2 linked regions of the Coturnix japonica genome follow. Each later gene encodes a partner of the first gene's protein in a complex. Links are inferred from orthologs where the notes say so. Each region holds a gene or a part of one and is shown on either strand. Other genes may lie near its edges.

What was found.
Region 2: the proteins of MYO6 (region 1) and TOM1 are in contact, whole or in part, in a crystal structure (PDB 6J56), measured with the Homo sapiens proteins. The link is inferred for Coturnix japonica from reciprocal best matches to the Homo sapiens genes MYO6 and TOM1. Residues at the interface, in NP_001355794.1 of Homo sapiens: Ile1182, Phe1184, Trp1202, Gln1214, Glu1216, His1218, Asp1220, Lys1221, Pro1222, Ile1224, Leu1226, Glu1234, Met1235, Cys1236, Leu1238, Glu1242, Thr1243, Gly1244, Leu1245, Arg1247; in NP_005479.1 of Homo sapiens: Ser440, Glu441, Phe443, Phe446, Leu447, Arg450, Ala451, Ala453, Ala454, Asp455, Leu457, Pro458, Asn459, Leu460, Ser461.

What each region holds. Positions count from the first base shown.
Region 1 is NC_029518.1:73,459,920-73,475,324, reverse strand, and holds the start of MYO6 (unconventional myosin-VI), read left to right. Parts: upstream 1-5,846; 5' UTR 5,847-5,917; exon of another isoform or gene 5,918-6,035; intron 6,036-15,405. UniProt on the Homo sapiens protein: Myosins are actin-based motor molecules with ATPase activity. Unconventional myosins serve in intracellular movements. Myosin 6 is a reverse-direction motor protein that moves towards the minus-end of actin filaments.
Region 2 is NC_029516.1:47,630,913-47,646,508, reverse strand, and holds the start of TOM1 (target of Myb protein 1), read left to right. Parts: upstream 1-8,083; 5' UTR 8,084-8,128; coding exon 8,129-8,180; intron 8,181-13,978; exon of another isoform or gene 13,979-13,998; coding exon 13,999-14,083; intron 14,084-15,596. Other genes in the region: HMGXB4 (HMG domain-containing protein 4), read left to right, coding at 1-252, 496-502, 1,594-1,675, 2,509-2,573, 2,859-2,964, 3,427-3,596, 4,452-4,574, 6,161-6,205.

The sequences.
Region 1 (15,405 bases):
CTTGTATGCAGAAATTTCCATACGATCACCAGTGGGACAAATTAAGGCTCCTTGTACGATTTCATTGTTTAATATTACCCAAATTTGAGTATTCATGTTTGTAAGCATCTTTATTGTGTATTTTGTATATGAGTTTTTCTGACTTTCATCATCGTGGTGATGGTCCCTAGGAGGACCTGGGCTTGTTCTGCCTAGAGAAGGCTGCAGGGTGACCTCATTGCAGCCTTCCAGTACCTAAAGAGAGCCTACAAATAGGAGGGAAAACAACTCTTTACAAGGGTAGACAACAGCAGGACAAGGGGAATTGGTTTTAAGTTTAATGAGGGAAGATTTATGTTGGATATCAAGGGGAAGTTCTTTGCTATGAGAGTGGTGAAGTGCTGGAACAGGCTGCCCAGGGAGGTTGTGGATGGAGGTGTTCAAGACCAGGTTGGATGGGGCCCTGGGCAGCCTGGTCTAGTATTACATGTGGCAGGGAGGCTGGAGCTTCCTGATCCCTGAGGTCCCTTCCAGACCAATCCATTCTATGACTAACTCCACAGTACTACTTTTTGCATCTCCATCAACAGCTGTAGTGTGCTGCCATTTTCTTGCTCCCCTTGACGAAGACACGATGCACACATCCCAACAACTTTCCGATTTGGTTACAGAAAGCAGAGGAACACTGGTGTGCATCGGTCAGTGCTCTTCCAGAGAGAACTTGTTCTGGATGTTACAGATTTTGTCCACTTGTCCCTTCCTTCCAAACCCCAGGGGGCTGCCTTTCTGCTCTGCTTTCTCTCCTGGTCTCTCATGGAAGAAACTACATCTGATAATCTTTTACCATATCTTGAAGCCCAGTTCTTCAGCCTATACTTTAGGAAAATAACCACTGATACCATCTTCCAATGTTCCAAGTAGCCTTGACAGCAGAGAAGGTAACGAAATACAGGTTGGATGAGCAGACAGCAGCAAAATTGAGAACTGGCTGTTGGTTGGGGCCTGGAGGCGAGTGATCAGTGGAACAAAGCCAGGTTGGAGTGCAGAGTGCACCAGGGTCACTACTGGGTCTGGTCTCGTTGAACATCTTCATTAAAGATCTGGCTGATGGAGTAGTGTTCCCTCGGCAAACATGCGGGGGCTACTCTACTAAACTGGGAGGAGTGGTTGATATGCCTGAGGGTTGTGGTTCTGTCCAAGGGGACTTGGAGAGGCTAGAAACACCTGAAGGGAGGGTGGAAAGAGGACAAAGCCAGGCTTATGGCAGCGGTTACAGCACCCTGAATCCATGTGATTTTGCTGCTTCTGAAGAAACAACAACATGCTTACTAGTACATGCATTGAATGTACACACTTCAGATGTTGTTCTGCATCTGTTTCGTATCCGTGGATTCTTAAGGAATCCATGAGGACCAATGTGGGGTTGAAGTGCTAGTGTGTGGTTGTGAAACGCAACTCAATGGCTGTTCAGCAGTAGGTGATCACTCAGCAAGATTGAGGTGACCTCACTAGTGTGTGGATGTTAAGGGTGTGAGGAGGCAGTTTAAGCACACCCAGGGTTTTGATGGCATTTGAGTGCGTGTGTAACTGTGCTGTAAAGGAATACAGGGAGGTGCTGAAGCAACGGGCTGCATCAGCTTTTCTTTTGGTGAGGTGTTATTCTTACTTCATGAAGCACCCCAACTGCAAAGAACAAGGCAAGGTTTGTTCAGATATAAAGGATGGAATCTGCATCCTTAAGAATGGCCTGCAGTTATTTCATTGACCATAGCTGGGCACCACTGAAAAGTGAATCCTTGTGAGTGATCACAATGTAGATGTGGAAAAAAACAATACTAATAAAAAGCTAAAATTGGAAAACATTTATGATAATTGCTAATGTGTGGCTTTTACGGTGTTCTTATTCCTACATTATGGATGCTTCCATGTCTCCAGATGAAATATGTGAGACAGTGAGTCCCGTGCTACTTTTATAGCCTTGGGAACAGGCCTCTGGTCTCTTTGCTAGAGGAGATTTTGCCAAAACAAAAGCAAATACTTCCCCTTTGGACATGGACGTGTTGCATTAAGACTGGAATCCACGCCTCCTGAAATACTGGGAGGGCTCCAAGAATATCTTCCCACTACTCTGGGATACTGCAATCTTATTTTCTTGCCCTCACCATCTGGGTTTATACAATGAATCTGCTCATGCAAGTCAAATGAAAAGCAATGGACATCAGCAACAAGCGGCCCAGAGAGGCAGTGGAGCCTCCTTCTCTAGAGATGTTCAAAACTCACCTGGGCGCTTTCCTGTGTGATCTACTGTTGGAACACTTTTCTAGCAGAAGGTTAGACCAGATGACCTCCAGCAGCCCCTTCCATCCCCTATGACTGTGTGTTTTTGCGTGGTTCAGTGACCTGACAAGTTAGGGATTCCTCTTATGTAGTCTCATTGCTATTACTTATGCAAGCCTATCCTGTGTTCCTTTGCTTCGAGCTACTCACAGTGAGGAACAATTTCTTTGGTTAATTTAATTACCCTTTAAGTTGAGGAAACAAAAATATGGGGCTGGTTTGGAAGACTTATTCCCAACCGAGAGCTTCAGAAACTGGTTGTACATTGCAAGGAGTGAAAATGCAAAACAATCAACCTTCCTTGAGTAACACATTTCTGATAACGTGAGAGAAAAAACTGTTAGGAACTGAAATGAAGCATTTCAAATAGAAGCTGTTGCCTTAAGCTGTAATATCTGATTTATTTGCAACCAGAATGGAGTGGCTGGAATACAAAAGGCCTGTGGAAAAGTCAGGCTATTGAAATACCCCGCTGTAGTCACGAGGGTTGTTCGTGCAAAGTCTACTGGGAAGAAAGAGGAGGGGGAAAAAAAAGATCTTTGCTCAGCTGTCAAAATCGAGAGATTTGTGTATACACATGTAATGCTAAGGGAAACTGAGTGGATAACAGAAGGTTTACACACCAATTTCCAGTAAATAATTCACATGATATGGGACCAAATGCCTCTTATCTAAAGAAAACTTCCTGGGAAAGAAAGCAGAGCTTGATTTTGAAAGGAGAGACCTCCTGGAATTGGGAAGTGTAAATCCCAGAAAATGTTCTTTCTTAAACTGTCTCTCAACATCAGCTGCTAAACCTCCATCCAGTTAGAGGTGTTCATTTGCAAGTATCTGAGCAAGCTATTCTTTATCCAGATAAATTACAGATAAATTCTGCTGGCGGGACTAAGTTGGCAGCTACATTAAGAAACTCCTCTTAGGTAAATCCGAAATACACCGGAAAGCAATGAGGTGATGACTTCCATTCCATGTGTTTAGGGTTTGTTTTCTTCAGAAATCAATTGCAAAATTATAGAATGATTCTAGGGAGTATCAAGGCATTAAACTGAGACACAGGCAGGCAGGAAATGCCAACAGCTGACACTGACAGGCTGCGAGGCATTTCAGCATGACCACGTTACACAGCCACGCTATAATAACATTTCATTCATATACATTTAGCGTATGTCAACAAAGCTCTGTAAGGTAAATGAACTCCTGGCCTCATTAAGTTGTTGGCTGTGACTTAAGTCAGTGCCCATAGACATTTCTGCAGGCAGAATTCTACTCACTATGTGCAATGTGTTAAACTGTTGAAGCTACATATGACCCACAACAAGACCCAGCTAATTACAGCACAGTTTAAGCACAAGCTTTTCTGTCTAAAGTGGCACCTACAGCAAAGGGCTGTAGTCAGTGTCAGACTTGGTTTTTGTGTTTAATCTTCCATGATAAAGCCTGGAGAGAGAAACTTAACGCCACCCTGTTCCTGAAGTTCCAAAAAGCCTCATCTTGTCATTTCTATCTCAACCTTCCTACAATGGACAACTGAAGCTCTTCCGGCCCGCCTCCTTACCCTGACAACATAGGAACACTGAAATACATTGTACCCACTTTCTCTTTCATCTTCTTTTCCCTTTGCTGAGGTCCAGTTCCTGTGCTCACATTTCACTGGTGTGTGAATCTTCCTCTCTTTTCCCAGGAGAACTACAGAACAGATGCTGCTGTGTCCTGGGATATTTTTAGGTTTCCCAGGGAGAAGGAAGGGAAAGCAGCAATGCCTCCTCCTCATCAGGGAGGGGCAGCCAGGCCGTGGGACAGCCCCTGGCTGCAGCCTTCCAGGTCACAAACAATCACAGGCCTGTTGGCACCAACAATATTTAGTTGGCCATTTCCTTTCTCAAAACTGTTGAACATTCTTCAGCCATGTCAGATAAATAAGCCACGGTCAAATTTAACTTACCACTTGCAGGTGTGTTTAAAAGCCCTGCAAGCTCCTGGTATATGCTGTGAGTGGCAGGAATGTTAATCTGGACATGGGATTTACACCCACCCACACTTTGCCTGAGCTGCAGGATTACTTGTGTGCTGAGTCCTCCAGTGCCACTTTCACACGCACATCCCTGCTGGTCTGACAGAGCCCTTCCCTAGGAGGCTGGTGAGGCCCTGGCAAGGTGAAGGAAACCAGGAGGGTCTTTGAGGAAAACAATGGTTTGGGTTTGCTCCATTAGCAAAATGCACAGGGCTTTCAGGGTCTGCAGGGGAATGATGTGAAGTCAGGACAACGGTGCCACTTGTGAAACACTGCACAGAGAGAAGTGAAGTGTTTATGGCCAGCTGGCCAACAAGCAGGTGGTGCCAGGCGTGCCCATAAAACCCAGGGTGGGGGAGGTGACACAGAGCTCACATGTGGGTGCTTAAGAAGGGGTGGCTATACGTGTCCTGGGCTGCATGACACACGTCACAGGTATGATGCAGTGCTGCCCATCTCTGTTGTGAACACAAACAGTGGAGCGTGGGTGACAAGATAAGTGGTCTCATTTATAGTGAGATCCAGGACACGAGCCTAACCAGGTAATGCAAATGGCAAGAAGGGCATGGCTGGTTACAGACTGAAGTGTGTTTGTTGACACTTGCAGGGCTCATTAGATATAGTATGAGGTGTTTTGAGTGTCCCTTGCCTTTGAGGGTAGAGTGGGCACTCAGCACCAGACAGGACAGGGTGAAGACTGATCCCACTCAAGGGATGCAGAGGTTGGGGGACACTCGGTACATATGCTGCACAGCCGTGGCCCTTGCCCTGCCATGTCGTGAGCTGAAGTGTGTCTGTGGGTTCCCAGAAAATAGCAGTGATGGCAGTGAGCACAGCAGGGTGCACACAAGGGGAGCTCCTGTGGAAGGAACAGAGCGATCTCCAGTTTTGAAGGTTTCCCACAGCAGAATAGAAACCATCTGTGTTATACCCTTCTGTCTTGTAGCCCCCCTTAAGATGCTGAAAGGTCGCCCTCAGGTCTCCCTGGAGCCTTCTCCTCTCCAGGCTGCACAGCCCCAGCTTCTCAGCCTGTCCTCCTCATAAGGAGGTGCTCCATCCCTTGGATCACTGTGGCCCTCCTCTGGCCGCGCTTCAACAGGTCCGTGTCTCTGTTGTACTGAGGGCTCCTCAAAAAAAGACAGACGAAAAAAGCATGAAACATCACTCCTAGCAAACACAACGGGAACCCCCATCGAACAGCAGCTATTGGGGCAGGCCCAGGAGCCCCCAGCACATCCCTCCCGCACGGCAGCGCCGCCTCCAGCCGTGAGGGCTCGGTGTTGTCCGCAGGTGAGGCGGCCCCACGCAGGTGAGCGGCCCAGGGGAGCGGGGCGGCTTCGACCCTCGGCGTCCTGCGGCCTCGTAGGCCATTGACCTCTGCTGTGGCTGCGGAGCAGGCCGGCAGCCGGGCACGGCTTCCCATCCACCTCCTCCTCCTCCTCCTCCTCCCCCGCCGCCGAGCTCCCGCCCCCGGCCGGCCCCTGTGGCGCTGACGTGCGGGCGGGTGGCCGGGCCGGACCAGGCTGCGGGGGGCGGCGCAGAGCGGCGCGGCGGTGGCAGCGGGGAGCGGAGCGGCGGCCACAGCAGCAGGTAACGCCGCGGAGCCGGGGCCGTGCTGCAGGCCGGGATCCACTGCCCTGCTCGGCGGCGGGTGGAGGCGGCGGAGGGGCCTCTCCTCGCCGGAGCGTCCCGGGCGGCCACGGGGCAGGTGCGGGCGGCTCCCGCGGGGCCCGGCAGCGGGGCTTCGGGTGGGGGTGTGTGCGAGAGGGGCTGGCGGAGTTTTGCGGCAGCAAAGGTGGGCAGAGCGCGGAGCGGGAGTTGGCGGAGCCGGGAGTGGCCGGGCGAGGCCGCCGTGCGGTACCGGGAGCCGGGCACGGCCTGTCCCGGGGAATGCGCGGAGGTGCCGGCAGCCCCGCGGGGGGCGGCGGCTCGGGCGGTTCCCCGGCTCGGCCGAGCGGAGCCGGAGTCTGACGGGCGCCTTCCTGAGCGCTCCCCGTAGGAGGAATTCATCCCAGAGCTGCCTTATCAGGTGCTGCTGGGGCTAAAGTGCTTTCTCCTTACTTCCTTAACTGAAAAGTTATTAAACATCCCTCCTCCCTCCCGCCGCCGTCCTAAGTGTAGCTCTGTATAATGCCGTGCATTCCAGCTAACGCTGAGTTTTATCCACACTCCCTTCAAAAGCAATTCTGTGCTCCTGGGATTGTCCCCGTAAAGGAAAGAAACTCTTTGCGGTCTTGTCTGGACAAAACTGGGCATGGTGTGAACTGCAGTGAAGTGCATCTCCTCTCTTCTGCCCGAGTGCTGTGGCAGGCTGCCTATGGAAAGCAGTGTGTGCCTATGGCTGATACGCTACAGAAACCCATCTCTGACTTCTTCTATTTACATCTGTTACTAAATAGGAAGAATTAAAAGTGTCTTCTTTGTTAGCTGTCACTTGAAGACGGCTCACAGTGTTACTGTAGGTACTGCTGATGCTTGCCTGATACTGGGCAATCACATTCCTGGCTAATAAATCCTGATGCTACCAGATACCTATAAAATTGAAATACCTGAATTAAAAGCTTATAGATTACAAGAATGCGTGGTTGTTACCTATTATTTCATTTAAACATTGCTGCTTGTCAGCCCTTTTCTACAGCATGTCATGCCTCCAGCCTTGGTATCCCACTGTATTCCTGAAGGAAATCAAGCCATGGAGCCATCCCGTAGCTTGCTGGCACTGCAGGCTCAGCATGGCCTATGGACTGGGTGAGCAGGTGCTGGGGGACAAAGGTTGGCCACTGTGTTCAACCTTCCTTTATTCCAAGTGTGGCATATTAACCAAGGGCAGGGATGGACTCCTGAGTTAACATTAACCTGCAGCCTTTCTTCTGCTGTCTTCTCAAGACAAAATACAATGCTAGGGTAAAGGCTGAGGGACAATAGAAGCGATTAAATGATAAAACTTGTGGAAATGTATAAGCATAAGCAAATGCCACCTTATGATGCTTGCTCAAGTGCCATAAAGCTGTACTAATGTGCAGGTTAGATTTGAAGTATATGTTTTATAAAGTAACTGCAAGGAATAAAAGTGTAAGAGTTTATTGCTGGGGTGGGATGGTAAACATCAGAATTGTTGGAGCACTGGTTAGTAAATACAACATAGGAGAGGTTTCAAAAGTAGAAGTTAGGATTTAGTTTGCCTATATTTTTAGTGGCTGTGCTTTTAATTTGTGTAAGTTACTAAATGATTCTGTGGCAATACAGTTGTGTCCCTCTGAAGCTATAAAGCCCGCAGAGTGAATGTAAAGGTAGAGAAGTTTGCTGCAAGGCTCACTGACATCATGAAGTAAGAAGCGCTTCAGTAGTAGCTTGTAGAAACTGCAAATTGAGCTTGTTTCCCTCACCTTGTATTTCTAGTTGGGTGGGTGTCTGAGTGTAACCTGTCCTGAACTCTGAGTCTGGGATTGCTACCTGCTGGTATTTGATGGACACAGTAACCATAATGATCCTGTGGATGTGCCATCGGTGTTTGGACACAGTAACCATAAAGGTCCCATAAGGAAAGTCAACTCCTGGCTCCCCACGCCTGTTCTGCAAAGGCAGCCTTGTGACTCCCTCTAACCTTCATGCTCTCTTGGTGTTTAATAATGCTGATCTGAGAAAGACCTTGAAATGTTTTGGCAGAGGAATTACAGTGTATGGTGATGTGAGCGATGTGGCCAAGGTGAGAAGGGAATAATTCTTTACTGTCGCTTTCAGTACGAAATGCCAAAGCAGGAGATTAAGCTGGCAGGTTCAAAGCAAACAAAAGGGTGTTTTTTACTTACCCAATGTGTAGCTACTTAAGCTTTGGAAATCCTTTCTGAAGCATGTGGATACCGAAAGCTCAAAGGGACAAAAAAAGCAACCGGATGAATTCATGGAAGAAAACTCCCCTGAGGCCCATCCTGTAAAGCTGCTGTGGCTCAGGGGTTGGCCACAGGTGGAGCTGGGATGGGATGCAGGCACAGCACTGTCATGTGTTTACCAAGCTTTTGTATTCATTCTAGGTGTGCAGGGCTGCGTGCAGTGCTACAGGCAGCAGCCAGGAGCAGCAGATCTGCTCTTTGACCCAGAACAGGTGATTTGGGGGAAATTATTTTTCATATGAAGAATTTGTTAGCAGCTGAACCTGAGGGACCGTGTCTGGATATATTAAGTGTGGTGACTGATCTCAAGGAGCTGTTATGTGTTGCCATTGTCAAATGGAAACAAGTAGCTCAAGCAGTACTATAGGGCAGTTCTGGCACCTGTGGATCTGATGTCTGTCTTGTGTACTGGGTTAGCACAGAATTTGAAGGAGTCAGAGGAGGCTTTCTGAGCCTTGGTTTTGATGCTGCCTTTTGGAGGATGGGGGTTTCTGATATATTTAGTGGCTGTGCTCAAGTATAAAATGCTGTGTTTAGAGGAAAGAGTTCCCATCACATAGATTGGCAGCAGTGCTGTGGGGATTAGTCTGCAGAGGATTGTAGGAAAAGACAGGATGCAGTAATGTGAAAGTTTGTTAACATTTGGCATGAAGTCCAAGCTAATAGAGTAATGTGTGCAGGTTTTTTTTGCTGCCCTTTAGGAAAGATAAATGCGAGCTATGCTCTGGCAATGGTCATCAAGGCTCAAGAAGGGTTTGGAAAGCGTGATCTGTAAAGGGCAGATGTATTTGCAAATCACAGCCTACAAAGGGCAAGCAAACTATGTTTGATGGAGGGATGTTGAGACCAGGGGACAAAACGATACTGTCTTAAATGTGGTGAGACTTTGTTCTTCTGACGGTAAGTTCCAAAAAAAGAGGAAGCCAGTTCGTACTGAGGGTTTGATTTAGTACCAGTGGTTGTGCTTTGGGAAATCACAGAATTGTAGGGGTTGGAAGGGACCTCTAGAGATCATCGAGTCCAACCCCCTGCCAAAGCAGGTTCCCTACACCACGTCACACAGGTCGGCGTCCAGGTGGGTCTTGAATATCTCCAGAGAAGGAGACTCTACCACCTCCCTGGGCAGCCTGTTCCAGTGCTCTGTCACCCTCACTGTAAAGAAGTTCTGCACATTCATGTGGAACTTTCTATGCTGTAGTTTCATCCCATTACCCCTAGTCCCATCCCCACACACACTGTACTAAAATATTGCAACAAGCGGAGGTTGTGGAATCTGGTGCTTGAAAAAGTTATTGGGAGAAGGATGGAGCCTCTATGAGGAACACTCTGACTGCTTCTTGTGCAGGGGTTTGAGCCTGATGAGTTCTTCGCTTCTTGAGGCAGATTATTACAGCGTGTGTTCAACAACAAAGTGCTCTGGTTTAGGAGTACAGCCTGTAATCCTGCAGGAAATGTAGTTCTGCAACCACACGGTGATTTAAACTGGAGAAGTCAGAGGGATAATAACTAAGTTATTTGTCACCAGCTGCAGCATATACTGTATGTTACTGTGTCCAGTATATTTAGATTTGTTTGGAATGGCTGTGTTACATTTGTGGTAAATAGTGGGGACTGAGACTTAAAGATGTATTTCTGATCAGCGCCAATACTGCAAATAACACATGAAGTAAATGAATGTGTTGAGTTGATATCTACAGATGAGGTCTCAACTTCCCTGTTGCTGAATAGCATACAAAAATGGGGCAGACCACAGTGGAGCTAGTTCAGGCTGGTGCTGCTATTGCTGTGTGTGTCATAGGTCAAGATGGAAGCCTGCTGTCACCCGTGGGTATGGAAGGTGGTTTGGGAGCCCCTGAATCATTTTTTCCCAGTGAATGAGTGTAATGTGAGCAAGCTGCAGCCAGGCTGTGCATGCCCAACAGTCCTAATGTGGATCTCAGCTCCTATAGGCATGTTCAAGCTGTGCAGGCCACATCACAGCTAGTGCTATAACATGGTACGGACAAACCATAGGTTGGAATGGGGCGGTGTTTAGAGGGTTGCCAGGGCAGTATGTTCAAGTGTGAGGGCCCAGTCTGCTCTTAAGAACAACAGCAAGAAAATTCCCAGTCATCAGCTGGACATCTGAGTGTACCCCAGATTCGTAAGTAATCCTACAAAAAGCCTTTTAACATCGAATGAAACAAAACTTCTCTTTGCTTTTTGGAGCAATGCAATGCGTTTGCTGAGTTGATTTTGTGCGAGACGTTAGTTATATTTTCATTAAATACATTTTCATAGTGGGTAGACTTTTACCATCTTGAATGAATTTGCTTCTTTGTAACTGGCACGACTTAGTCTGACCTGAAATTTGGGGGAGAAAAAACAGAAGTAGAGAGTGTGACAATTCAGTGCTTGATGATCATCTCTCTCACGTCAGCTTCACGCGTGGTTGGAGTGACAGCAGCAACTTCCTTAGCTAAACTGGAACTGTTCTTATGGATTCTTCTGAGAATCCTCGTTATCACTTGGCAAAGCTTTGGTCACGCCAGGTTTGTTCCTAATTGCCCAGAAAACCGACTGAGAGGCAACGCTGGAATGACCGCATTGCTACAGAATTGGTCATGGAAGGGCTGCGGCCTGCTCAGGTGCCAGGCCAGGCCGGGCCGTGGCTGGGCAGCGGTGTGGGGGCACACTGTTCTTTGAGCTCCCATCTGAAACATTTCCACATTTATTCCAGTGCACCACATTGCAGCCACTCTCCAGGAGAGGTGGTAGTGATGAGAATCTTCTAGAAAATGTTTGGAGGTGAAGAGGGGCTGCTTTGCTGCATCTTCCATTTCCTCAGCAGGCATCTGCCTGTTGGTACACTGAGGAAGGGGCACTGAAGTGTTCTGCAAAGGGAACGTTCCGTAGCTGGTCTGAGAGGTCAGGGCTTCATGTATGCATTAACCTCGTCTGGTGTAGACACCAGAGCTTACACACTGCATTTTCCAGGACAAAGATCAAAGCATTAGGGGAATGAAAAGGCTAACAAATATTTTAATGACTTCAATTCTAATGATTGTCTAGGGCTGTAATGCTGTGCATAGCTGGGCAGATGTAATTGCTTGCATTTCCCCCAGCAGCTTGGGTGCTTGTGCACCTGTCTTTGCAGACTGCAGGGGGTAACAGAAAGTCCCCCTCTACATCTCCCTGCTGCAGGGGACACAGTGAGTGCCAGAGCTAAGAGAGTGGGGCAGTGGGAGCAGCACAGCGGCACAAATGCAGGGAGGAGGAGGAGAGGTTACCGCTTCAGCTGACCCCACCTCATGAAACTACAGCATTTTTGCAGTCCTCTAAACCCATGTAACCCTTTGCCTAATTTTTAAGTTGTTATTTTTATAGTGTTTTCTGATCGCTTGGATCATTTCTGATCATTTCCCCAGCTCATCTTCAGCAGGTGTTCAGGCCGTGAATGGCATTCTGTGTTGTGGCGCATGGAGTGTTACTTGTGTGGGTGCTGCAGAGTGATGCTGTTTCTCCAACACTTACTCACTGCCTTCCCTTTTGATGAGCAATCTGCCAGGCCCATTTTCTCCTCCTCTTTTAATTTTTCTTTCCTAAAAATAGACCTACCAGCTGTGTATTCATTTGTGGGCATACACGTGTGTGTTGCGTCATTGCTTTATTTTCCTTATTTGCTCTTAGCTGCAAACAAGCTATTTCATTGAGGCTTTAATGTTTTTACAAGTGTCAATAACTGATCTTCTTGTAGTTATGGCATTAAAGTTGTTTTAAATTTCTCAGCTCCCAGAAGACAGGATAGAAATGGGCTCATTTATCATAGCTTCATTAAAACAGAATTGTTAGGAACAAAGCATTTAAATTTGGGTTGGAACTACATGATCCTTGAGGTCCCTTCCAAGCCGGGTCATTCTGTGATTCTGTGTTTCTGTAAATGTGAGTATATAGAAAGATAGTAGTTCCAGAGGTGATGTAGTGATGTTGGTCTTTAAAGAGCAATCCAATTAGAGCTCTCCTGTGTCTTCACAAACATTGTAAATCAGTCACTGTCAGGCACACAATCTCAGATTATATGGACTTTGAGCAAGTGTTTGGTTCACTGTACCAGTGTCATTAATTATTTAACTTTTTTTCAGCTGTTTGCTGACTTGTTATGGGCATCTGAAAAGTAGTGTAACATCTCAGTATTTTTTCAGTCATTTACACAAGTCAGAATTCTAAACTTCACTTGGGGAAAGGATGTTTTTTCATATACGTTTCCCATCATGTTCTGATTGTAATCTGAAACAAATTTTACCTGCTGTTCTATGCTTGATTTTGAAGTTCTGCATCTTTTCAAGGAAAAAGAATTAACACAACTAACCTAGGGAGAGAAATCCTGAACATGTTTTTTCTTAGTGTGCTATCATGCCGTACAATTCATGTCTTACTCAAAAGGTCAACACCCACAGAATGTGATTTTTGCAGTGCAGTCATCTAAATAGATGCTCTTCTTCGGGCTGTAACATTCTTTTCCCGTGGTAAATAAATAGTCTTGAAATGAAATGGCATCTGATGAGTCGGAGATTTCTGTGCTGTGTGCTGATTACATGTGGATATGTTCACCAACAAAGCAGTGATGAAAAATATAGAACATATTTTGATCATATACCATTTCAATTTAAATCCTCACCACTTTTCCCATTTTTTAAATGCATGTACTTATTCTTAAAATACTGTATTGAATTTCTTTTAAATTGGAACCGATGCTTTTATTTTCTTTTATGGGTGTGGGAAACCAGCTTCTTTTATTATATTATAAGGAGTTGTGCATCTGTTTGGGTTGTCATCATTTAATCGGTGGTTTTAAGAGACTGAGCTGATTCCTAGACTTGTTTTTTAAAGCCTTTTGCAGCTTCTGTTGCAAACTCTTCTGTTACAGTCGTGGATCAGTTACTGAGCTCTGTAAAAGGAGAATGTATTTATACCCTAAAAGAATGCAGTTCTGTTGTTCCCTGATTTTTATTCTTTTCAGTAATAAATTGGTAGTTCACATATACTTTGAGCGCATCAAATAACCTTGGAAATCTATTTAATTTCACACAAAAACAGCTGTTAGAGATTGGTTGTTTTCTGTATTAATCTTGGTTTCTTCATGAATCCCTGTGGGAGGGACAAAAGGGAACAAAGGACACTTTATGTTGTTGGCGTGTTTGCTCACTGATTGTGCTGGGTTGGTTCTAGGCAGGAGCAGGAGAGAAGGCGACCAGCAGGAAGAGGAGAAGCTGCTTCTGGGCAAGCATTTGGGAGCTCAGGGACGATGCCAAGGCAGGAGAGGCCTGTGAGCTGAGCAGGTCGGAGTGATTCAGGAAGTTTCAGAAGGGAATGGTTGAAGAGTCACATTGAGGCAAAATGTTGTTTTGACAGGTAGATGTTTTGGAGCAACATAGGAAGATGGGGATGAGATGCAGTCTCTGAGAGCTAATTGGCTCATGTTTTCCTATTATTTAACATCCAGGACCTACCACTTCAAGCACTGCATGAATGTTATGGTGAAATTACAGCTGACAAGATAGAGCTGTGCACCAAGGTTGTATGGATGCTTCCTTTTAAATTCATGCCCGACTTTTGTCATTGAAAATCTTCTCCTAGGCAGGCATACCCACAGAACCCTAACTAGTAGTGTCAGATCTGATCCTGAGGTGGGCATATCTTTGTGATAAAGAGAGGATTTTTATTTATTTATTTATTTATTTTCCCCTGTGAGGGCTCCTGCTTTTTTGAGTTCTGGCTGAACTAAGGAACTAGGCAATTTAGAAAAACACACAGCCTTCAGTTTCACTGTGCTCTGTTGAGGTCTTCAGTTATTGTTCGATACTTACAGGAAGAGAGAGTGGAAGAAGAACATAGAAGGGTTTTTAATGATCCTTCTCCAGCTGAGGGAGGTACCCAGTGTCTTCCCAAAGGGCACCCATCCAACTGGAATGGGAATGACTTGGTGCGAGGCTCCAGGCTGCAGTGAGTCATAATTGGGTCTGTGATAGCTGATACCACATCTCTGCACTGCTGGGTGTAATGGCAGTCAAATTTTGACCCAGATGCATGTGATAGCACTTATTTGGATTTCACTCAATATAAAACACAGCAAACACTCCAGGATATGTTACTGGCATATCACCTGGATTGGGCTGCATTATTTTAGCCATTACCTACCTGGATCTTTACAGGCTACAACAAAGGTGTGATCTTGATCCATGTTAGGTGGGAGGCTTCACCTAGTGGCTCCCTCTTAATAGAATACTTCTACTTTCAGGGTCAGCTGATGTCCTTAAAGAAGCTCTGTTTAAAGGCTGTTCCCAGGACATCTTTCTTTCTGTTTTTTCTTTCTTTTATTATTTATTATTTATTTATTTATTTATTTATTTATTTGCTTTACTTTTCTAGTTCCAGGATGTCCTGTTCTGCCTTTTGTTTTTCACAGCTTCCTGGAAATGAAAAGCATTTACATGGCATCAGTGCTACAAATGTGAATGCAGCTTAACAATCTCCCTGCTCATCATGGACTGTGTAAACAGGGATAGATTGCATATGGAGTTTGTACAACAGCATGTAAAACTGGCTGCAGCATTACAGTTTTCAAAGAATGAAAGAGATGCTGATTCTTGATTTCCCTGGCAAACAGACTTTATGGCTAATGAGAAGTTTAGTGGAGAGGCAGTGCAGGACAGCTGGTGGAAGAGGAATTTAAGAATTGGAAAGAGAGTTTTTATCAAAATCCATTTCTTTCTCTACTCTGCCTTCCGTGTTGAAGATGACCAATGTGTAAGCCCTGAATTGGCAATGGCTGTAATTACTAGGAAGCTATCAACCTGCAATTTCCCCTGCTCATCATCCTGAGGTTGAGTGACGTGGAGATGACATTTACTGTGTGCAATGCTTCTATCCCAGAAGGTTTAGCTCACATGCACTGGGCACAGCTTTGCAAGACCAGCAATGAGAAGTTCTCACCCATGTCTAAGTCCATAGGATGGAGTATTTTCTGTTGTTGCACATCGTTGAGGATTGCTGCTCTTCTTCCTTTGAGCATGCCTAGGAGTCCATGCACTGGATAGTATTGTAATGATCTTGTTCTAGGTCAACAGAAGCAACTTTTCAGTGTGTAAAGAGTGTCCTAGCAAAGAAAGCCCTGTGCCTTTTGGTGTGTGACATGCTCAGGAATTCCTA
Region 2 (15,596 bases), on another chromosome or scaffold:
TAAGAAGAAAAAGAAGTCAAAAAAAAGTAAGAAAAAAAAAGACAAGGAGAGGCACAGGGAGAAGAGGCACTCTAAGTCTAAAAAGAGTTCTGGGCACTCTTCTGTGGCAGCAACGGAAATAACAGTGTCACCACCACCTCCTTCCAGCACTCCCTATGTTCTTCCTCCACCTCATCCTGCTGTTTTTCACTCAGATGGACAAAATGAGAAGAGGAGGAAAAAGGAAGAAAAGGAGAAGGAAAAAGCTGAGAAGTGGGAAAAAGAAAAGGAAAGAGAAAAGGAGAAGGAAAGAGAAAAGGAAAAGGAAAGAGAAAAGGAGAAGGAAAGAGAAAAGGAGAAGGAAAGAGAAAAAGAGAAGGATAGAGAAAAGGAAAAAGAAAGAGAAAAGGAAAGAGAAAGAGAAAAGGAAAAGGAAAGAGAGAAGGAAAAAGAGAAGGAAAGAGAAAAGGAAAAGGAAAAGGAAAGAGAAAAGGAAAGAGAAAAAGAAAGGGACAGAGAAAAAGTAAGGAAAAAAACGAGGGGAACTAGAAATTGGGAGATGGGTACTGTTGAATTACACAATGTTACAAAGATGTGTTAAGTTGAAGTATAAGTAATGTCAGCATTGATGGTTTCACACAGCATGTTTGGCTGAAATGTTTCCTCTACTGTGTTTCAGGTTTTTAGCAGAGGGAATATTAATCATAGTTTGTTTCTTTGTTTTGTGACACAGGCAGTCTTTAGCCAGTATAGCTCCTTTGAAAATGTTCTATTTGATATACTTGGTACAGATTATGCCACCACTGCATCATTCGCTAAGGTTGCTGGCTCTAACTATTACCAGTAGAATTCTGGGCTGTTCTGGCTGTCTTGTAGTCCATCATGTCAGTTCCTGTAGGAAGGAACTGAGTTGTAAGCTGAAAGACTGAAGTTATTTATCCATTTATTGGAGCACGTCTAAGATTTCCAGTCCAGACTAATTTTCAGTGTATTTATATATAGGGAAAGGAAAGGTTTTGTACATCCGCATAGACAGTGTTGCTTTGTGTAGCCCAAATTTACTCAGCTATTCTGCTTTATGTGTAAAGTTTTTTTTGATCAGAGCTTGACAATTCCTTATGCATCTGTTATCAGTGTACTTGTACAAACTGTTTTCCTGAAAACATAAAGTGATTTGTAAGAATCGTTTGTAAAGTACAAAACACGAACACTGAAACAGAAAAAAAGCTGATCTGCTTTGACAGATCCTTGTTGGAACTGTGAATAGTAGACAGTTGTGAGGTTTTTTTCAATTTTAAATTTGAAAACTGAGGTATGTTTACAGAGTTATTTGTTGCTCCTGGATTTAGAATCGCAAAACTTTTGACTTAGGAATGAAATGCATCAGTAGTTGTTGCAGAATAAGTCTTACATTAAAACTGGTTCTGTCCAGTTCATATTGCTTTCAAAACTGCTGAATTTGGCCAGAACATGTAAAACATGGCTATTTTATCTTCCTTATCTAATCACCATGTCTTTTTTTAAGTTTCTGATAAATGTCAAATTATTAAAGAAATTGAGTACATCTCTATATAATTAAAAATCTTTGTTTCCTTTTTTTTTCTTCTTTTCTAGCCAAAGAAGAAAAACATGTCTGCCTATCAAGTGTTCTGTAAGGAATATCGAACAAACATTGTGTCTGAGCACCCTGGGATAGGTGAGAGAAAACATAGCTTCTCTTCTCTTCTCTTTCTCTTCTCTTCTCTTCTCTTCTCTTCTCTTCTCTTCTCTTCTCTTCTCTTCTCTTCTTCTTCTCTTCTCTTCTCTTCTCTTCTCTTCTCTTCTCTTCTCTTCTCTTTCTCTTCTCTTTCTCTTCTCTTCTCCTTCTTTCTCCCTCTCCCTATTCTCCTTCTCCCTCTCTCTCCCTCTCCCTCTCCCTCTCCTCTCCTCTTCCCTCTCCCCCTCTCCCTCCCCTCCCCCTCCCCCTTCCTGTCCCTGTCCCTCTCCCTCCCCCCTCTCCCTCTCTCTTCCTCTTCCTCTTCCTCTTCCTCTTCCTCTCCTCTCCTTCTCCTCTCTCCTCTCCTCTCCTCTCCTCTCCTCTCCTCTCCTCTCCTCTCCTCTGATTATACATCAGTCTAATTAATTAGCAGGACATACCTTCTCCTTCATACCAACCTCTGATTTTTTGAGGTAGGAGGGACAGAAATTGATTTTATGATTTGATTCATTGCATTTTAACCAAGCTGTGAATCTGGATGAAGAAATTACCTACTCTTCCTTTCGTTACTTAAAGAGTTGTTTTCTTTGTGTTATTTTCCTGCATACGCATGTGTGATCTTGTATTCCCAGTGTCATTGACAGTAAGGAAATGCACAGTGGAAATCATTTTTAGACAGTGTGGAATGTTCCATGTGTAAAAGGCACTGCTTTCTAAACGTGTGTGCATTGGCCAGTTTTTCACAGTGTTGAAATTCACATAAAATCCCTGTGTCCTCACTGTGGTTTTATTCTTTAATCTATTTTGAGCCTGTCTATTTTTCCTCCGAACAGATTTTGGAGACCTTAGTAAAAAGCTGGCAGAAGTGTGGAAGCAGCTACCTGACAAGGATAAACTGGTAAGTGCGTGTCAGATGTTTCTGCAAAATGATTTTTGTTAACTAGGTGCTTAGGTCAGAACACAACAGCATTATTGCCACAATACCTTAAAGAAATGTTACCTCTGTCCACAAACTGTGGGAAAATTGAATATTTTGCCTGTGTGGTCATAAAAGCATCTATTTACTTCTCATGGCATTGCTTCACAACTTGGCTACGTAACATTATTCTGCCCCAAGGTCTTGGCATTAGGTGAAATAATTATCTAACATTATGAATTTGTTTTTATACCATGGTAACTGCAGATCTGGAAACAGAAAGCTCAGTACCTGCAACACAAGCAAAATAAAGCAGAGGCCACTACTGTGAAGAGAAAGGCATCATCTTCAGATGGGGCTCCAAAAATAAAAGGTAATTGCCATGCTTTATTTGCTCTACTTGTTGGATTTATTTTGGAGTGGGGAAGGTGGTGTCTTTACGCTTAACTTATATCACTCAAAGGCAATGTTTCTTGAAGAGCAAGAATGATATCAGCACTTTTCAAAAAGTCTAGTTAGTAGAATGGTATTGGCTTTAGCAATTCAGGAATTGAAACATGAAGCAAGAATCAGGGAAGTTCTAGTGGGAATATCTTTCTGCAATATGAAAAAGGGTTGTTGTTGGTTTGGCATCTCCATTTACCAAATCTCCCAAACCTATCAAGTTACAGCCAGCTGAGGTACTTGCTTTGCACAACACTGAAGTCAGGCTCTGTTCTCCAAAGGTCCACATAACTATTTAAGCATCTAATAACTTTGATATTTGATATGCAGAAAGTAAATAGGCTTCTAGGTCAAAGTAGATAATACAGAATTTTAATTCCTGTGTTTCCAGCTTCTCCACCAGGAGCGATTTCCCCTCATAAGAAATCTCCCACTAGCACTGTGGTGTTGCCCTCCTCACCAGGCAAAGCCCCTGAGACGGAGCCTATAGATGTAGCTGCACACTTACAGTTGCTGGGTGAATCTCTGAGCCTCATTGGACACAGACTGCAGGAAACAGAGGTGAGTTTGTCCCCAGCAGTCTCAGTGATGTCATGCAATCACACATAGGACTGGGGGGATCATTTTTGTCTCAAGCCTTTAGGTAAAAAAGAGCATCAGAGAAGGCCTTTACCAAGATGTTTTAGCATGTACTGTTGTTTTCTTGTAGTATCATGCTCTCAGTGCTTTAGTTAGCCATGACTATGATTTCAACTTACATACTAATGTAGGAGATGTCATATTTTCCAGTGGTTTCTTAATGTTAGATGATAATAATTGTCTGCATACATGTGTGCACACACACACTCACAGGTTTAGAACTCAGCACAGCTTAGAAACAGAGGACATATTTGGGTAAAATAACAAATACCAGCAAATTTTATGGCTAACAAAGTCATCTCACTGTGCTTTTTTGTTTTAGCGGCAATAAAATAAACGTTACTGCATTTTGTTTCTGGTATGACCTCATTGAGGTTATTCTTCAAAAGAACAAATGGAGTAGAAATCAATCCCTTTACAGAATGGCACATTCCCTCTTTTGGAAATATATTGATATCTAAAGCATTTTTACAGACTTACCATTTCTTTAGGCTCCAATAATAAAACATTATTGCATCTAGTTAATATAGTAGAAGGTATGGAATGGCAAGAAAATTACATGGCATAAACTGGGGAATTAAATTGTATACAAAGCTGACAACTTTCTAGCATTTTCTGCTGTGAAGTGCTTGGCATAGTTTTGTTGCTGTGTAAATAAAGTGGACAAGGGGAGCTCAGTAGTGAGGATACTGTGTGTGAATGAGAATCAATATAGTTGTGAAGGATCCATAATTTCTGCTACTTGTCCCTATCTGGTTTTTCTTTCCTTACTTCCAGGGAATGGTGGCTGTTTCAGGAAGTTTGTCAGTACTTTTGGATTCTATCCTCTGTGCTTTGGGGCCATTGGCATGTCTGACTACTCAACTACCTGAGTTGAACGGCTGCCCTAAGCATGTTTTGGTAAGCTTCTTGTGGTTATTTCCATTCTAGCCCTGTTGATTTCAGTAGAGACCAGCTAAAGTTTTTGGATGAGTCAGTCCTAGAATGCAATTAGAATTGTTAAAATTAAAGTGGAAAATAGTTTGTTTTAAGGAACTGGGTAGCTTCAGGTTCTTTTCCATGTTAAATTACAGCTGCAAGTGAGCCCTGATTTAGCAACAGCTTGTGACCTCACTGTAGCACAATGTGGACATAGCTTAAGACAGAAGCACCATGAACTGAAACAGAAGTTGTACCTCCAGCAGGAGGCATGAATTAGTGATAAAGTAGAGCAAAAACGAAAAACATATTTGTAGTCTCCAAAAGCTGAGAGACTGAAATAGTATCTGGGATCTGGACAAAAGAATAACAAAATGGGGCGTGGATTAGGGTTTTCTAAAAAGGACGACCCAATTAATGATTCATTTTGAGAAACTGTTAGCAAGAACAAATGTGAGAGCTTAGGCTGTGAGCTCCTACAAACTGGCTGTCCATACAGAAGCTGAGTCAACGGGGTGTACCCATCATAAGCCATGGAAAAACATCCAATTCTTTTCTCCCTGCTAGCCAAGTTAATTCAGAACGTTACACCCCTTTTCCACGTGACTAATGGCTCACGTCTTGGAAACTTGATCATTTTATTGTTATAAAAGAGCAGTGATGCTGCAGGTGGATTAAGGCACTGACCTGTCACTTCTGAGAGCTGATGTTCAAACTCGATAAGAAAGACATTATTCTGACTTTTACAGTCAGGTACCTAAAGATAGGGGTATCTTAAGAGAAGTAAAATTCTCAGTGGAGGTGTTGCACATAGGATGCAGTTTATCCTTTCAGTCAGTAGGTGGCATTGTTGAATTTTAGAATCACCCTTTTACAGCTCGAGTTCTTAAGGCCTTCAGCCGCCTAACCATAGATCTGAGGATACTGAAATACTACATTTGAAGAACATACAGACAATATAGTGATTGGTGTTGTTTTCTGATGTGTAAAAAAAGGACTCCGTCTCAGAATTCTATTAAATTTGTAGGGAAAACTGGAGGGACATTTCTTTTTCCCTTCTGACACCCTACTAGTAGGTGTTTCTTTCTCTTATACACTGCAGAATGTCTTAAAGGACTTGTGAGTATAATGCCAGGGATTTGGGGTGTTGTTTTTTGTTTTGTTTATTTGTTTTCTGTGGTTGTTTTTTCACATTATACAACTTCTATCACTCAGAGTACTTCACTGCATCTTCCATGTGGTTGATGTGATGTAGCCAGTGTGGTTGGTTCATCTTGAAAGGTAGAAGAGCGTAAGGTTCATTAGGAAGAAGTCACTCGAGGAAAGCCTCAAGTTTGTTTCCAAGTGCTTCCAAGTACTAGGGCTACCTTTGTGCTTAGTTCTAAGTTTCCAAATATGTGACAATAAGCCAGTGATAAGGTGGTGGTAGGTAGTCGTGACTTATCACTTTGGTTGTCTCTTGGTATGGTAACTTGTAAGACAAATGAATGTGCTGAATACCCCCTTCTGTGTCATTTTGGGGGATTTTGAGTCACTGTTGGACGTTAACATCTTGGTTTTTTTCCCAGTCAAACACACTAGACAACATCGCTTACATCATGCCTGGACTTTGATGGAAAAGGAGCCTGGGATTTACTCAACTTCAGCCTAACTGACCTGTGTACATGTGCGTTACACCGGCGCTCCATATGGGCTCCACATGTAGTGTTTTTAAAGTTTCATAAATGTATATTATATGCATAGGATTGTATTTTATGAAAAGTTGTGAAGCTGAGAGAGCTACATTTCTCTTGGTGGATAAAATGCGATCCAATATGGAAGTATTTGTAAAAAGAATTCAGAAAGATTTTGAGATACAAGCCTTAAATACAGATCCTTTAATGGGGGAAGCAGCCAGAGAAGGGACTTTTGGATATAAGGAAAAACATGTAACCGTTGGAGCAGTCATTGAAACAGGAAGCCCATAGAGGCTGTTGAATTTTCATCCTTGAGGATGGAGCCTTCTCTGGCTTAACTTACATTATACACAGGGGGTTAGATGGTTCGGTTAGACCCTTTAAGAGTATTCTGTGAGCCAGTAGTGATGGTATTTTGGACCCATTTCTGTTTTTGAGTTTAAAATCTGCTTGAGGGGGCAGCTGAGCAAGGATACAGAGGGCTTTGCCTCTTGATCACATCTTCTAAGCCCCTTCTTCAGTCAGTCAATAGCTGAAAGTTGCCAGTGTCAGCTCACCGGTCTGGTAGCTGCCATTTGAAATGAAATTGAAGATGACAACTTCATCTTTTCTTGTGGACGTGCACCCGAGTCATCCCTAGTGTTGATGTATCAACAGACTTAATTGATTTCAGAGAATGAACTTCCTGCTGATTTTTCCAGGGTGTGGTCAGCCTGCTTTGATGGAGAGCTATAGCAACTGGGAAAACAATTGGATCGTTTCTGCCCATCTTACACTGGCTTTATGAACAGCCAGCCTTGATTTCTGAGTCTGCTGACCCCCATCTCTTTCACCAGCAGTGCTGAAAGAGCCACAGTGCTGCTGTGGGATGGTGGCTGATGGCCAGTTAGAAGCAGTTACAGCTTGACCAGGGCACGTGTGTGTTGTCAGGACTGGTCAGGACAGGACTGGACTTATTTCCTGCCATGTACTCAGTGTTTGACTTTCCGCTCCTCTAGAAGAGCCGTAGGAAAGCACTTGATTTTTCTTATAGGCTTTTGTGCACCTGTATGTATGTTGATGTGGTGTTCATATGATATGTATTTAACTTCTACCAATATATCTCTAACAGATTTTAATTTATCCTGTATATGACTATGTACATAGATAGATATATATATACATAATTTAAAAGCAGAGCTCTCTCCCTCCACAAGCAGCGGGATCAGGTTCACCTCACCGCAGAGGAATCAGCAGCGTGCAGCACTACGCATCGGCATCACGTGGGGAAGGGTGTGAGCATCTGCAGCAACAGACTGGCTTGAGAAGCTGAGTTTTCCTCCAGCACCTCCAGCCTCTCAGCCGGGTGCTCTGACTCTCATTTCTGTGTTCTTGGCCTGATCCCCACCCCAGGCTGACACGTGTTAATGACCATTGTGCGAAGGGACAGAGAGGGATCCTCTCCAGCTTTGTTTCCTCTGCAGTGCAAACCTGCTGGAGAGCGACAAACGCCCCCAACGCCACTGTATTGTATTTGTATTTAAAATTTGTACACTTTGTATCATCTGTTACTTGTAGTATTTGCTACTAGAGGGAAAACTTTGGCAAGACTTGGCAGTTTTTCTATCTTTGTTATTTCCTTGCCGTTTGATCCAAACGCCGTTACAATACGAGCCTTTTTTGTACCGTCCTTACAATACACTTTCTTTTTTTTAACGCCTGTTGCTGTCATTCATTAGCGCCGTACCAACTTGCCGAGCTGCCCTCAGCCCCGCGGTGTTGCCGGGCGGCGGCCGCTGTCGTCACGGCGGGGCCCGCCCCGGCCCGGCCCGGCGCGCGGTCACGTGAACGGCGGCGGCACAGTCAGCTGATCGCGGCGCGATGGAGTTTCTGCTGGGGAACCCGTTCAGCACCCCGGTGGGGCAGAGCCTCGGTGAGTCCCTCGCCCTCCCGCGGCCCCCGCGCCCGTCCCCGTTCCTTCTCCCCTCCGCGCCCCCCGAGGTACCGGCCTCCGTGCCCGGCCGGCCGCCCGCAGGACCCTTCGCCTGCGAGACGCGGCGGGTCCCGCCCTCGCGGTGGGACACGGAGGGCGGCGGCCAGTGAGAGGGGAGCTCCGCTGTGACTGACGGGCGCCTTCGACCAATAGAGAACACGCAGCCCGAGGCAGCGCCGCCGGCGGCCCCGCCAGCCAATCCGCGCGCGTTGGGGTCTCGAGGTGGCGAGGCGAAGTTTCGTCTCTTAAAGGGGCCGAGGAGCGGCGGCCCGAGCCACGCCCCCTGGCGGCGCTGAGCTCCGTGATTGGCTCGGCGCCATTCCCGCCACAACTCGGGGGGCTTCGCGGGAGGAGCGGGTGCCCACCCTGCGGGGGCTGCTGATTGGCTGAGCTCCAGCCACAGCGGCCTATTAGCGCTCTGGGCGGGAAGGCGCCTTGTACTACCTGAGGAGGCGGAGCCAGCGGGGGCAATGAGCGCAGAGCTGGGGCTGACAGGGTGGGGGCTCGGGCTGGCCTACACCGAGGTGGCGTGTCTAGTGGGACCCGCACCCGGCAGCACCCAACACGTGGCTGCCTGGCATGGACTTCCCTGCGCAGTGGAATGGGAGCCTTGCCGGCTCTGCCCTGCACCACAGGCCTGATCACAGGATAGAGCCCCAGCTCCAGCAGTGGGAGCAGTGTGGCAGCCACTTGGTGACCCTTTAGGTTCGCAGATGTTGTTTTAGTCGCTGTGCTCAAAACGGGTTGCTGAGCACAGAACAAAGTAGCCCAAGAAAGTGGAGCAAAGAGAAAGAATAAGGCCATGAGCAGCTATGCTGGTCTCAAAGCAGAGATGCAGTTCTTAACGTAATTAGAATAAAGATTCTTTTCTCCTGTTGTACCATCTAAATGCCTTCAGGTTGTGCTTGAAGAAATGAGGCTGGTGTTTCCTGCTTGATGTCTCCATCTTGTGCAATTTGGCCATTTCTTGTTTGTGTGAGATGCAACTACAGCAAGCTGGGGGAAGGTTGACTTTAACCTTCCCAACCAAGGGCAGGTTTTCAATAAAGAACAGCTCTGCCTGATATGTGATGCCTCCCCAGGTGGCAGTCACGTGTTTCATTGTGTTTCCCAGGAGATGCTGTCACCTGCTCTTTGTGATTATTCTAGGAGGGTATCAGATACATTGATGTGTCTGGGTCCAGGCAAACCGAAGTCATCTGTAGGTGTTACAGCGTACTTCATGCTCTCTGGGTCTTCTGAACAGTTTATCTGAGCAGCCAGATATAAGTGGTTTCCTTGCTGGGCTTTACTTCTCTTAAAGAAGGGATTTTCAAGCAACAAACAAACAACAAAGAAGAGGAAGAAAGTGTTTCAAGAGTGTTGTCAGACAGGAGCTTAGAGCCCATAGTACTACAACATAGCAGAAAAATCTTAAGGATTGGCCTTGAGTGCGGTTATTGGAGTCCAAAGGGGTGGAGGATTTGCAGTGTGTGAGAAAGGGACTGAGGGGTGGAGGATTTAAAAAGGGCTGACAGATGTAAATACAAATGTTTTCTCCTTCTGAACATTGCCTAACGACATCCCGGGGACACAGATAAATGCTATCTTTCCTTTTTGATTTGAGATGCGAACGAGACTTACCTGAAGTTGTTTGGTAGGTCCGTGGTAGCTGCATAGTGAGCCCATGAACCTGATCACCAAACCTGCACGGTGCCTCCGCTTCGGGCTATCTGCAGAAAGCTGATATTGCATCTTTGCAAATTACATGGGCTGAGTGATGTACGCCTGATACGTCTTATAAAGCATAAAAGCTTTAGATGAAGGGTACGGGATGAAAAGGAAGTACTCTGATGCACAATGATGTTCTCAAATTCCTTCATTAATGTTAATCTAGCAAGTCCCACTTGTTTTTGCTGAGAAGGAAACACACACTCGATAATCTCAGTGATTTCTTACAAAAAAAAAAGTTGCAGAGGAGTAGGTTTACACCTTTTTATTCCCCATCCTGAGATTTCATCACAGAATATCCCTTTGTCCTGGTTTTGGGCTGTGATCTCTTTTCCTTAATAAGACGAATACAGCCTTTAAAAAAATGAAGTACTTCTAACCAAAGGAGACATTTCTGAATAGTGCTAAAGCATTGTAGCTTGGACTCTACCAATGAAAGGGCAATTCACTTGGCCTCTGCCTAGGAGCTAAAGGAAACATCAGAGTGGGAAACCTACTTTCAAGGAGATGCTCTGATAGTAACAAGGCAGAGTGAAAGAATAGAGAGGAAATCAACAGTGCTCTTTCCTGAACCCTGAAGTCTGGAATAGCTCGTAATTATGGCAGTACTGAAAGGGAAAGAAAGATTATTTCATTGAATGAGGACAGAAGGTGAGGGAGAGAAGTAAAGATATAATGCAGAGATGGAGAGGAGTTTTTTTTATGTTTGGGATATGGGTTAAGCGTGATAACCAAGAAAAGTTGAGGCTGGTGAGAGGGAGCAAGTAAGAGAGAGCAGATTGCCTTGGCTCATGGTTGAGGGAGAGCTGCAGATAAAATAGAATGTGCCTCACAGCTATTTAAATCCCTAACCCTCTGCAAGTTGGACTTTAGGAGCTGCTGGGAAGCAGATATCGTCTGCTGTTAATAGCATTCCCCTTTCCTGACGGGTTCATGCAAGGCAACGCTTCTCAGCAAGTTACAATCTTGTCTTCTGTGCTGTGAAAGATTTGAAGAGCTCTCTGATCCCTGAGATTTTGAGCTGAGGAAGGAACAGCTGGATAAGTTCAGAGATGCAGATACCCAAAGCATTGTGGCAGATCAAGCAGATGTCCATCACCATTCTTGAATTAGGATTGGAGATACATGTCAGGAGAGCAAGCTGTCCCCTCCATCACAGCAAGGAAGAAGCAAGAATCTAGGAAGGAAACAAAGCCATGAAATTCCCACCAGTCACAATGCAAGGTACTACTGCAGTGTATCAGTTCAAAATAATTTCTTATCTTACAGTACCAGATGCATTAATAGCTTACAGTCATCAAAAGTGTGTCAGGTGCCAGAAAGGAAGATTCAGTGCTTTGTTTTGACTCATGTTACAGCACTCTGTGATTCTGGGTTGAGGTGGGCAATTTGCAAGGAAGCAAACCAGTATCAGGCAAACCTCAGTGCTGTCACACCCAGGAAGCTGGTCTGGCCACTGAAACAACACAGCTTTGAAGTGGCCCCACAGAGGGCCTCTCTCGTGCTGTATGGTCTTGGTATCAGGCTTTGAAGAAAGCAGCATTTATACACCAGCTGATAACCTCCCTATGAGGCATGCCCTGTGTCAGGCCAGGATCAGCTCCCAGCAAATAGAATCAAAAGCTGCCTGATAAGCCCTGCCAAGCAGTGCTGAGCAGGCAGCCAGGCCCTGCCTCCTGTCCTCACTGTTTTTAGAGACTTGTCGGCATCTCAGGCTCAGATTTTATAAAGGGTAGACAGCTCATGCGCTAATTACAGCTCATGAAACCGGGCCAGCCGCTCTGATCCCTCACGTGGCTAATGAATATACTTTGTTTCCTTTCTTTCTGCAAGCTTCAGTAAAAGGGTAAAGTTCAGGATTTTCAGAGAACATTCAACATATCTTATTAGTCTTGGGCAGTCCCTCAGTACTCGGGAGCGAGGATTTAGAAGGCATTAGCTTCAACCCTCCTAGGGCCAGTGAGGCTGGGCCTTAATCTTAGCAGGCAGATTCAAAGCTGTTGCCCTCCTTTTTTCCTTATGCCCTAATTCTGCTATTCCAGCTGCACATTTTCTAACTTCACATTGTATTTACGGCAGGTTTGCTGCTTTCCTGCAGCTTTTCACCCATCAGCCTCAGAAAGGAGGTTGACTATGACAGGATCACTGCTCCGCTGTGGGGTGACTGCAGGCTGTGTTATGTCACCTCTGAGGAATCCCCACGTTCCATACCGGCCAGCCAGGTGAAGGAGTGCGCATGGTTTGTTTGCATTCCTTTCTGGAAAGCAAACCCGCTTCCCAACTTTGACAGGGTGAGCACATCTGGAAGAAAAGGGGACAAGAAAGCAGGTTGAAGAGTGGTGACAAGCACAGGGAAGCAAGAGAGTAGGTAGAGTGGGTAGGCTGGGACTTAAACCAAGGTGTGTCCTGAGCAGGAGGTAACCCTCAGCATGGAGGGGAGCAGCAGTGAAGTGTGGCTTCATGACCAAGTGCACCAAATCCATCAAGTCAGCCTGAACTGCAGTCTAAGAATGTTCTGCAGTCAAAGAATGGCCACTCTGCCATTCTTTGCCCTCTTCCATCAAGTTGTGGCCACAATGTAATCAACCTAATCACAATGTAATCAGTAGGTTTTGCAGCTAGCAGAAAAGGTGGCAGCTGGATTTTGGTAAGATTCGGGCAGGTAGTTTCATGCTGTGGTGTGTAACCTGTGGGAGGGACATGTACAAGGGAGGGTGTATTGCATAGTGCTGTGAATAGCTCTCTGACTGATCCTTAAAACAGGGCATCTGAAAACATGATGGATGTGCTTACCCAGGCAGGAGTCAGAAAACTTTTTCCAATGTTGTGGCCCCTATCTCATTACCACTTGCATGAGCAAGCATTTCATTTTAGTCCCACAGAGGGATCGTTAGCTATTTGGGTTGCAGAGGAGGCTCCCTCTGAAGGGCAGAGGACCCACAACAGCAAGGGCCAGCTCCAGATTATGCGGTGACAGCAGCTCTGAAAATGCAGGCACTCCTCTAAGTACGTATTTAAGTAAGCTGGTCCCTGTAAGGAAGCTGGGTCCCAGTTCTTCTGGAGAGCACCTGATAGGTGCTGAACTGGTCTGGCTAGTTTTATTTGCCTCGCTCCACTACTAAATCAGGCATCTTATAGGATGGGAAAGCTTGGAAAGAAGGTTCTCTTGCACTGTTTGCTATCTGCTGTATCTCTGCATTTCCCCGTGGTCTAGAGAGTGTCTGGTTCTGCCTACCCACTGGCAGTTGTTTCCCCCACTCACTGGTGGTGACCCTAAAGGCATCACTCAGCCAGTGTGGTTGGGGTGAGACGCAGCTGATTACAGGGTGGAGGCACTGTTGATCTCACTAATAGTTGCGTGTTGCCCAAATCTCTGCCTTGAATAACATCAAGGCTGACTGAGGAATTCCTAATTAAAGGGGACACAATAAAAGCTGGAACATGACTTCAGCCCGCAGTCCTTGTCTGTCGATACTCCCCAGAGGCCAGAAATTCAGGCAAGAGATGCAAATTTTAAACAAGCCTTCCTGTTTTTTTTTTTTTTGTGTTTTGTTTGTTTATTTGTTTTTATAGGACTTGTAAAAATCTTGGGGCTAATTCATTCCCTTAAGTTGATGCAAATAAAAGCAATGCCAATGACATTAGATCCATGTCAGCATGAGCAGGCCAAACTCATGGTTTCCTTTGCTGGCCCTGCAACAACAAAGCAAATAATCCCCCCTTTCTTCAGTTGTGCAGCTGAAGTCATTTGCTCTCCACTGAGGCCATCTCCCTTTGCGTGTAGGACACCAGAGATCATTCAGTGTGTGTGTGTGAGTTTGTAGCATGCGTGATGTGGGCAAAGCTGCGCAACTGCCCATCCCGACAACAGCCAGCAATGTGCTTTGTGGTGGTGACACCTAGTGGGAAGCACTTGGTGGCTCAGACTTTGCAGCTTGATTCATGTTGTTAAATGTTATGACAAAATCCAGGGTCACAGCTGAAGAGCAGCCCATGAAAGTGCCAAGACTTCTCTTAGCTCTGTGCTGTTTTGGTTTCTTTTTTCCAGAGAGAGCTACTGATGGATCCTTGCGGGGTGAGGACTGGTCTCTCAACATGGAGATCTGTGACATTATTAATGAGACTGAAGAAGGGTAAGAGGGCTGGCAAAGGTTCTCATCCAGCAGCAGGTCCCGGCGCACTTCCTGTAACACTACATCCCTACACTACAGTGGTAACATACAGTGTTGGAGGTAATAAGCTGGGCGTCCCAGTAGTCCCCTAGATGAAACTGCTGGGACATCTAGAGACAGAGAAGAGCTTTCAGAGCATCTGTTAGATGTTTCCTTGTGATCTTCATGAGCACAAGGAGCCATTCAAACAGGCCTTCAGCATCCCTTGAGAAATCTTGATTCAAGCCAGGCTGCCTCCCATGTCCCAGAGACACATTTGCAATTCTTTTGCTTTGATTTATTCCTTTTCCTTATCCCACTCTTTCCACTGGGAATGTAAAATTCTTCAGGCCAATGACTGAGGAGAGAAGAAAATCTCAGGCGAGTCCTGCTGGGGTTATGTTCTCAGTTATTTTCATATACAGTCACTCTGACATGCACAAATGTGGGCATTCCCCCCTGAGAAGGGATGTTAGAAATCTGCCAAACATGTTAACTCTGGAGCTGGGGATTTGCCAGTGAATCCTAGGGGGTCTGCTCTATCTCACAGTGGAGACGTCAAGAACAGCATGTAAAAAGGAAGGTGATACATGGAATGAAAAATGTAGATTTCACTCCTGCTGTCCCACCACACAGGGAGGCTGATAGATAGCAAGCTCAGTTTGAAACTTCACAGTTGTACGGAAACAAAGTCAAACATCTTTTCTTACAGATCTGTCACCCCTAATTTTCCAGCCCTGCTCTCCCCATGGTACAAATATGCCTGTCTTTGCCAACAGTTCTCCGTCCCAAGCTGTTACCACTTTGTGTTTCATTTCTGGGCTGTTGCTAACACAGCTGTCTCTCCAGTTCTCCTGCTGATGCCCATCCATTGCAGCTTTACTACCCCATGGGCCCCCAGATGCTTCCTCATTACCTTGGTGCCTCCATCCCACTCTTGTCTTCCAGCACTGCTGCTCTTCCAGCCCAGCCTCTCTTCCCCTGCTCTACTGGAGTATGTTAGTCCTTTTGTGTCCTCTCACAAGACCACAGTGACCCTGCTATGCTGCCATTTATGCAAGATTCACTGCATCTCCCAAACTTCTTTTTAGCCTCATTTCCTCCAGGGAAAGGTTTAACAGTTTCTTTCTAAACTTGACAAGGATTGCTTCTTCTCCGTCTCTCTTTCTTATTTCTACCCTTTGCCAAGCTTTTTGTGATCTTGTCTGCATTGTCGCTGCCATGGGATTTTGCTTTACCCCAAACAGTACATTTCTGGTGTTGCTATTACTCTCTGTTTTGTCTGTACACCTTGGATTGTTGCAAACATCAGCACAGAAGCCTCCAGTTTCAGCACCAACACTCAGCAGCAGGACCTAGCACCTCCTACAGAACTACAGGCAAAAACTGCTTTATCAGTCATTGCTTCAAGATGCACTGAAAATGTGATGGGGAAGATCACCTATTGAGTGCATGACTCTGGATGTCAGTGGCTGTTTTGCTTTGCTTCTTCCTA